Oryza sativa Japonica Group: one gene and its partner. The protein of the gene in region 1 interacts with the protein of each later gene in a pairwise test. Links are inferred from orthologs where the notes say so. Each region holds a gene or a part of one and is shown on either strand. Other genes may lie near its edges. The genes, in order: uncharacterized protein and protein BTR1.

The links.
Region 2: the proteins of uncharacterized protein (region 1) and protein BTR1 interact in a two-hybrid assay, tested with the Arabidopsis thaliana proteins (2 studies listed by BioGRID). The link is inferred for Oryza sativa Japonica Group from reciprocal best matches to the Arabidopsis thaliana genes AT3G21215 and BTR1L.

What each region holds. Positions count from the first base shown.
Region 1 is NC_089042.1:9,178,153-9,182,511, forward strand, and holds the start of uncharacterized protein, read left to right. Parts: upstream 1-1,376; 5' UTR 1,377-1,463; coding exon 1,464-1,823; intron 1,824-1,920; coding exon 1,921-1,996; intron 1,997-2,706; coding exon 2,707-2,839; intron 2,840-2,930; coding exon 2,931-3,042; intron 3,043-3,671; coding exon 3,672-3,763; intron 3,764-3,874; coding exon 3,875-3,944; intron 3,945-4,022; coding exon 4,023-4,105; intron 4,106-4,213; coding exon 4,214-4,295; 3' UTR 4,296-4,359.
Region 2 is NC_089036.1:35,794,704-35,799,205, forward strand, and holds the start of protein BTR1, read left to right. Parts: upstream 1-1,428; 5' UTR 1,429-1,584; coding exon 1,585-1,687; intron 1,688-3,166; coding exon 3,167-3,405; intron 3,406-3,490; coding exon 3,491-3,591; intron 3,592-3,891; coding exon 3,892-4,085; intron 4,086-4,386; coding exon 4,387-4,502. Other genes in the region: ubiquitin carboxyl-terminal hydrolase 2, read left to right, coding at 1-193.

The DNA of each region.
Region 1 (4,359 bases):
ATGTTTGGAGACTCTTATAGGAACAATGCTTGACACACCAACGAGTTTTCCTAGCTGCTATATAGGCCCAAGCATCACATATAACTCAATAAAGCAAACTCAAATGGACCCAACTTTACTAAGAAAACACTGCGCGACCATACGGCTCACACGACGTGACGAGAGAACAACCCCGGCAATACGGACGCTGAGTGGTGTCCCACGGCTTGCTGCCCTACTCGCGTCATGGATCACGTGACTTTGAGCCCGACTCTCGGCATGGACTCGAATTTTTTTAACGTGTCATTTTGGGACAACGATGCCGGTGTGTCCCCATTGTCCTTACTCTCCCCTTCGCCCACACCATCTCCATCGCCGGGCGGTCCTCAGCCATGCTCGAGACCATCGCTGCCCCCTGGCTTGAAGTGTAGCCATGAAGGAGAGGAGGGGCGCTAGGCAGGGAAAGAGGATAGGAGGGAGAGGACCCGGGTAGGGGGATAGGAGCGATGGTGGGAATAGGAGCTACATAGTTGTCACTCGATCTCAAGGACTGGACGAAGAAGTGCCGATCCAGTCGGCGGTGTGGAGAGCGGAGGAAGGAACGACAATTCTGTCAATGGCGCACTAGCATGGAGGGAGAGACAAATGGGGAAAATGATGTGTGGGTACAAGGGGATGAGGGTGAGGGGTAATATGTAATTTTTTTTATGGATTGGAATAGATAACTTTAAATACGTTTGCAAATTAAAATTGAACATATTCGAATTCTAGGGGCCGATATGCAAATTATTTATGGATCCTAACAAGTGTAGCTTGCATTGTGGACACATAGTATCTTTAGAGATGGTTTTATCTTAGGTGATGTTTGGAGACTCTTATAGGAACAATGCTTGACACACCAACGAGTTTTCCTAGCTGCTATATAGGCCCAAACATCACATATAACTCAATAAAGCAAACTCAAATGGACCCAACTTTACTAAGAAAACACTGCGCGACCATACGGCTCACACGACGTGACGAGAGAACGACCCCGGCAACACGGACGCTGAGTGGTGTCCCACGACTTGCTGCCCTACTCGCGTGATGGATCACGTGACTTTGAGCCTGACTCTTGGCATGGACTCGAATTTTTTTAACGTGTCATTTTGGGACAATACTCCACGTACTCGCACTGAATGTCTAAAAAATACAAACAAAGTGAAAAAAATATTATGATGGTTACTTCACAAGTTAGAAAATTTTGCATGTTCTTTATTCGATCCAAAAGGGCCTGAAATCAGCTGAAAGCTGCTTTGCTAGGCTGGGCCGGAGGACGCACCTCACCTCACCTCACCTCGTCATCTCATCTGCGTGCGCTGCTGCCTCTCTCTCTCTCTCTCTCTCTCTCTCTCCCCGAAACCCCCAAAACCCAATCTCTCTCTAGGGTTAGGGTTTGTGCCCGCGCGCCACCTCCTCCCCTCCCCTCCGCCGCCGCCGCCCCGATGGCCGGAACGATCCACCCGTTCCACCAGCAGTGGCCGCCGGCGGCGGGCGCGCCCGCGCCGGCCGCCGCCGTCCCGCCGCCACCCCCCGTGCCGGGCGTCCCAGGCGCGCCCGACGCCGCCGCCGCAGCCGCCGCCGCCGCCGCCGCGGCGGCGGCGGCTGCCGCCCGCCCCGACGAGGTCCGCACCATCTTCATCACGGGGCTCCCCACCGACGTCAAGGAGCGGGAGCTCCACAACCTGCTCCGCTGGCTCCCCGGGTTCGAGGCCTCCCAGATCAACTTCAAGGGCGACCAGCCCATGGGGTTCGCGCTCTTCTCCTCCGCGCACCACGCCATCGCCGCCAAGGCCGCGCTGCAGGTGCTAGGGTTTTTTCTCTCTCTCTTTGGGGTCTCCATGGCGGGGTTGGTTATAGGGTTTGGGTGGATGGTGGTGTGACACGAGTTTCTCTCTGCAGGATCTCATCTTCGATGCGGAGACCAAGACGGCGCTGCACACCGAGATGGCCAAGAAGAACCTCTTCGTCAAGAGAGGTGCGTTCCCCTTTGTCGATGTGCGCTCGCTTTCGCTGTCATGTTGTGCAGATCAACCTGATAAATTTTTGGTTGGATGGAATTGGTCCATATAAATGTAGCCATGTTTGCGCATACTGCTTTGTATCATGGAAGCTTTCACCTTTTATCATTTATTATGAAGCTTGGCAGAGAATGGCAATGAATATGCAGTTCATTTCTTGTTGCATATTTTCTGAAGCTTATGTGTAATATTAGAATAATTCGATATGGGAAAGGTGGCCTGCTATTGGAGCTTTGATGTCTTCCTTTAAACTGTTTGGTAAACCTATGCAGGTCAGGACATTTAACCAATGTGTAGGTGAATTGGTGGTTTTCATATGGCTTCATAAAACTTTTACAGGATTTAGTTCTGTGTTGTGAGATAAGCACATTCAAGGCTATTATTGTTTTACCAAAGCTTTCTGTTGCCAAATTTTAATCTTTGAAAATGTTATTGTAGCATTTCATATAAGCTTTAGGAAATATGCAAATGAAATAAAGATGAACTAATGATTATAGAATTAGTGATTGTGATAAAATTACTATAACTTGATGAAGAAACCTGGTGACAATAATGTTCCACGTACTCCTTATATTGGGCTGTTGTTTATTTCCATTTACTCCATGAAATGGTTACTACACTGTTATGCATATCCATTATGCGCTGAATTAATTAAGGCTTATGTTAGGTGTGGGAAACGATGCAAATGCTATGGACCAAAGTAAACGCTTGCGGACTGGTGGAGATTATACTCATTCTCCTTATGCTGCTCCCCCATATCATCCACCCCCACCAGCTGTTTCCATGTGGGGAACTCCAGGGTAAATTTCTTAATTTGTTGCTCTTTCTTTCAACTAATTATGCACAGCTATGGAGCTCTATAATCCTTTTTTTCTTTTGTGTATCATTCAGTTATATCGCGGCACCTCCACCTTACAATCATTATGCTGCCTATTCAGTGCCTCCTGTGGCAATGACTTCACCTTCTCCCGTACCAGGTCCAACTGCCTATGCTCCTGTTCAGGTACTTCGGAGTTATGTTATATATCTCACCTTGGTTTTGAGCTTAATCTTAGGAAAGTTAAATATTATTTCCTGATTAAATTTGACACAGGTCATTGGATAGCTCCGTTGTGTGCACATCATCTCTATTTCTTTGTATTAACTGTTATGTAAGATATAATATGATGAATTCATATTTGCTTATATAGAGAAGTCTAAATCTATGGCCCCTGCACTTTACAACCTGTGACGAAACCACTTGAATAACATCATTCAAAGACAACCTCTTCCTTTTTTTCATCCACTTGAATATAATTGAACTATGAACATTGATAAAAATAAACTAGACTCTGTTGCCTTTACCTATCCTCTATAACTTCTCAAGTTCCTCCCTAAAAAATAACCAGGTAATATGTGCACAAATGTGTGAGTACATAAAGTCTTGTTTGCAAAGATGCTTGTGGTGTTTTTCATTGAACATAATGCTTGTCATGATTTTGGTTAATAAATTGTAATGCTATTAAAAATAAGAGGTGGTTGCTGCATTGCTGATGCAGAATACATTGTTTGGGGTCAATATTTTGACTGCTTTATACTGTTCAGTTTTCTGAAATCTAGTATTAATGGTATATTTTGATTTCTCTTTTTCAGAATACAAAGGATAACCCTCCCTGTAATACCCTTTTCATTGGTAATCTTGGAGAAACTGTTATTGAAGAGGAATTGCGGAGCCTCTTCAGCGTGTAAGAATCGACGCCAATATCGTTGTCTATTGTGTGCAGTGGTGTTGCATGGTATGGTTCTAGAAAGTAGATACAACAGTTCTAACTGATTATTATTCATTTTCCTTTCAGGCAACCTGGTTATAAACAAATGAAGGTGTTGCGCCAAGACAGGAACACTGTTTGTTTCATTGAGTTTGAGGTAGGTACTTACAATATTGTAATTTTATCTTAACCTTATCCTACATTCTTATGCATCTCACTGTTTGTTAAATTTTAGGATGTGAATGCTGCATCAGCTGTACACCATAATCTACAGGGTGCTGTTATTCCTAGCTCTGGTCGTGGTGGAATGCGAATTCAATATCCTTTATTTGCTCAATGAAATAAAATAATCACTTACATTAACATTAGATATTTATGTTTCCTTTGCTAATTTTATATGGTTTGTAAGTCCTTAACGTCTTGAACATTTTCGAAAAATCCCTATGGCCGAAGGAAGGATTCTGTTGGTGGAATTGGGGGCTCTCTAAATGGAGCTCCTTCAAACTGAGAGGGGATGTAACTTGAACTTTAGCATCCTACTAAATTATCATCTGCATATTTTCTTCTAAATG
Region 2 (4,502 bases), on another chromosome or scaffold:
TGTCAGCGAGAAGATTATCATGGAAGAAGAGAAGTTCAAGAAGTGGAGGACGGAGAACATCAGGAGGAAGCACAACTACATTCCCTTTCTATTCAACTTTCTCAAGATGCTGGCGGAAAAGAAGCAGCTAAAGCCATTGGTTGAGAAGGCCAAACAACAGAAGGCTTCCAGCACAAGCACGAGTGCAAGATGAAGCCAAGTGCCACCAATGGCTGTACCGAATTCGTTGGTTCTCATTTTGAGGAAAGCATACGTTCATGGGTTACTGGGGTTAGTTGTTGCATTTTCCCTTTTTGAGAATGCGTTATGCTATCAGATACGGCACCTTGTTGGCAGCTTAGAGATATCACTAAGTTAATGAACCAGAGTACATTCTCTTTAATCTTTTTCTCCGTGTTGTATTATTATCTGTTATGACTTTCTGCCCTTGTGTGATGGATAGAAACTGTAGAAGAGGTCAATTGGGTCTTAAGGGTGGTGGCATTGTTTATTTCGCGTCGTGGCAATCGAATAGAAAAATACATGTTGGAGGATGGAAGTTTTGTGTCTAGATGCTGTCTTGGAAATGCCCACTTGCTAATCTTACTTGAATTAGATAGATGCTGTGAGTGTATCCATGACCATGAGAGAGCTGGAGCCTAGTGCTGGTAGAGTTGACTTTCCTGAGTGAAATCGCTTGCTTGGGTTGGCTTGTAGATATAAGTATAAGAAAACGGATAAGAAAATTCAGGCAATGAATCTGATGCGCATGTGATTGATTCTGGTGGGATTTCTATAGGACATCTGATTTTCTGTTGAACAGTTAACGCAAACGACAGGTTTGAATGATACAGTATTCGAACTTGTTTTTTTTTTCTCTTGTCATCAAGATTCATAATTGTTGGAGCATGAATGATCTGGTGTGCAACCTCTTAAGCTCTATAGCTAGGACGTTGCTGTCATCTCTGTTGTTGCACCAGCTAAAGGACGAATTGTGACCAAAACCCGAATTGTGACCAAAACCTTTGGGACTTTCAGAGTGATCTTTCTGTCGCACTTGCACACACTCTTTTGTCATTCAGAGTGGTTATTATCCACCCATTTTGAAACAGGATTTCAAGAAATTAGGGGACAAAAAGAAATTATACACATTGGATTTGAAGAAATTTAGAGCTGGTGTCGTACTCCTATTTTATTTTGGTCTATTATCCCATACTTATGCAGATCAGCTGGATGGATTGCATCGTCAGATATTCTTACAAAACAAACTTGCTCAAACCAAGACCAGATTAGATTAGATTTTGTTGTGAATACAAAGTCAAGCAACAACAAAAAAAAAAGAGATTGAGAAAGAGTGGCGAGTTGCGACGTGACCAATGGAAACTCGAAAAACAGAAAAGCGAAGGATAATAAAAACTCATAAAAAGGGGAGGAGGGAGAAAGAAGCGAGAGGCGCATTTGTTGTCGTTGTTGTTGGTTCCATGCCGTAGGCCCATCGCGATCTACTAGTGTTTTTTTGCCTCTCTCCCCCCTCCACGCCTCCACCCCCACCCCCACCCCCACCACTCCCCCCCCCCTCCGCCTCCGCCCTCCGCCGCCGCCGCCATGGAAGCCCCGGGCTCCCCCTACGCCTCCTCGCCGGAGTCCGCCCCCAAGCGCGCCCCCCGCTCCTCGCCCCCGCCCCCGCAGCAGCAGGCCTCCTCCGAAGGTAACCCGCTCGCGCCTCCCATCCCCCCATCTCACTCTCGATATCGATCTCTCTCAACGTGGTGCGCGCGTACGTGCGCCCTCGCGCGCGGTTTGGTCTGGATCCGCGAGATCCAGGCCTCCGTGTTCCGCTCTGAGATCGAGATCTGCAACCACGGGCGGCAAATATGGTGGTCACATGGATAACACTAGGCCGCTGCTGATTTGGGCGTGTTCTGCGTTTGTGTGCGCTTGTGCAATGGAGAGGGGAGATGCAACGATCAGTTGTTTCAGTGGTAGTTGATTTCATGTTCATCTTGTCCGCTGGGGTGATTTGGCACCGGTTGATGTTGACGATGAGTTCATCCGATGCGTTTCTGTGTATGCATCACAAGTTTATTAACATGTCCAAGCGCGGTTAGTAACAGCTGCATGTGTGATCATATACAATGAGCTTACACATAAGAGTTGCAATTTGATGAGTACCATCATTTAATTGTAGAGTTGAGTTGACCACATGAGACGTATACCGATATGCATCGCTATCTGTACTCTTACTAGCGATGACTTGCTGGATGATGCCGTGGTTGGGTCTGTCACTCTGTTGATGTTCAGGGTTTTCTACTTTTCGCAGTGGAACCGACACGTAGATATAATAAGTATTCTAGGAATTCAACCCTACATCTTGATTGTCTATCCCACAGTAGTCTGAACACACCCAGCCATTTACTTAACATTGTGATAACTGATATTGGATGTTGTTTCACTTTGTTGGTTGTTGGCCTGTAAATATATTTTTTCGGGGAAATTGCAATTGGGGAACAAGAGGATGCTTACAGGAAATGCGAAGTCATGCACACTCTATTTAGCAAGCACATCTCACCTTTCTGGCATATGCCAATCATTAATCTTGTCCATTATGGTTTCCTCGGGTCTTTGGTTGACACACTTATTGCCTTTAAAGTGTTATCATTATATGTTGGTTGTTCTAATGGTTCATTAGTTACATCAAAATATAAGAAATATAAAGTTCTCCTGATCCACCTTGAGTGGAAAGGTATTTAACTCAGTCCTGTCAATTGCTGCTTTCACTCTGTTCGTAGCATATTCCTACCATTATGCTTGTTGCTAATTCATGTTTTTTAACTTGTTATATGTTCAAGGAGAATATGATAGACCATGCCAAAATATAATTCGGTCATAATGTGAATGACCCTCTTGTTATTGTTCCCAACAAGCATACATGACACAACTGTATATACCAAACTTCTAAACTACACTGACTGGAAACCAAAATTCAGTCAGTAGTGGTTCTACAGAACATGTATAGTTAAGTGCCCCAGTTGGACCATTAGCTGTTTTTACTATGCATCATGGACCACTTTTGTTGCTTGAGTTAAAAAAAACAATTTTGTGCCTAAACAAATAATGGCATGCACAGTTTTTGGCCCTCTCCTTTATTGCTAGTAATTCTGAATTTCCAAGTGATCATTCTCCACAGATGACAAGGAGAAGCCAACCCATCTGAGGTTTCTGGTATCAAACACGGCAGCAGGATGCATTATTGGCAAGGGTGGATCAACCATTAATGAATTTCAGTCCCAGTCTGGGGCTCGTATTCAGCTATCGCGTAGCCATGAGTTCTTCCCTGGTACAAATGACAGAATTATCATGGTTTCTGGTCTGTTTGATGAAGTAATAAAGGCCATGGAGCTGATTCTCGAGAAGCTTTTAGCTGAGGTAAACTATTTTATTCCGCAAATAGTTGTATCATAGGGCCATGTTACTTTATTTGATGATTGGTATTCTATGGTTACTTTCCCAGGGGGAAGAAAGCAATGAAGCTGAAGCTAGACCTAAAGTTAGACTTGTAGTTCCTAACAGTTCTTGTGGTGGAATCATTGGTAAAGGAGGGTCAACAATCAAGTATGTACCATTGATAAATTTGTTTCTGGTTTCTGAAATCTTATTTTTATTCTTATTCCCATTGCGCTTCTTCATTTTCTTAGTTGGTTATAATGTATGTATACCATGAAGCGTGTCTGAACCGAATGAGGAAATGCATGGTTATTTTCCTAATGCACTCATCTTTGACTTAACTGCACCCAAGTTATTGCATGCTCTCTTGTCAATTGTACGCAAGCAGTATTTGTTGTTTCATTTGTATTGTTTTGTGTTGGTTTATGTTTCTTTGAATGTGAGTTGACATGCTTGTTTTCTCATCAGGTCATTCATTGAAGACTCACATGCTGGAATCAAGATTTCACCACAGGATAACAATTTTGTTGGTTTGCATGATAGACTCGTTACTGTCACAGGACCCTTGGACCATCAGATGCGTGCAATATATTTGATATTAAGCAAGTTATCGGAGGACGTTCACTACCCACCTAATCTGAGTTCCCCATTTCCATATGCAGGTAAACAAATTTCAATATTTGATTTGGTGTCAAACGGCTACTTTTCTTATTATGGGGTGCCTTAATTCTCGGACTGCATTTCTTTTCTGGAATTCATATACTGCATTGTATAGGTCACAAATGAACATGCTTGGTCACTCGTACCATTTGGCAGCCATGAGCTTTCTGCATGAATTTTTATTCAGCTACTGCACGATTGTTCTCTTTCCGTTTCAGTGATCATGTTGAATGCGTTCACATGCTATGTCCATTCAGTTACTGCATGATCATTTTATCTGAATTCCTCTTCTTTTGTTTTCAGGCCTTGGTTTCCCTAGTTACCCTGGTGTTCCTGTTGGGTATATGATCCCACAGGTGCCGTATAATAATGCTGTGAACTATGGACCTAATGGGTATGGAGGAAGGTACCAAAACAAC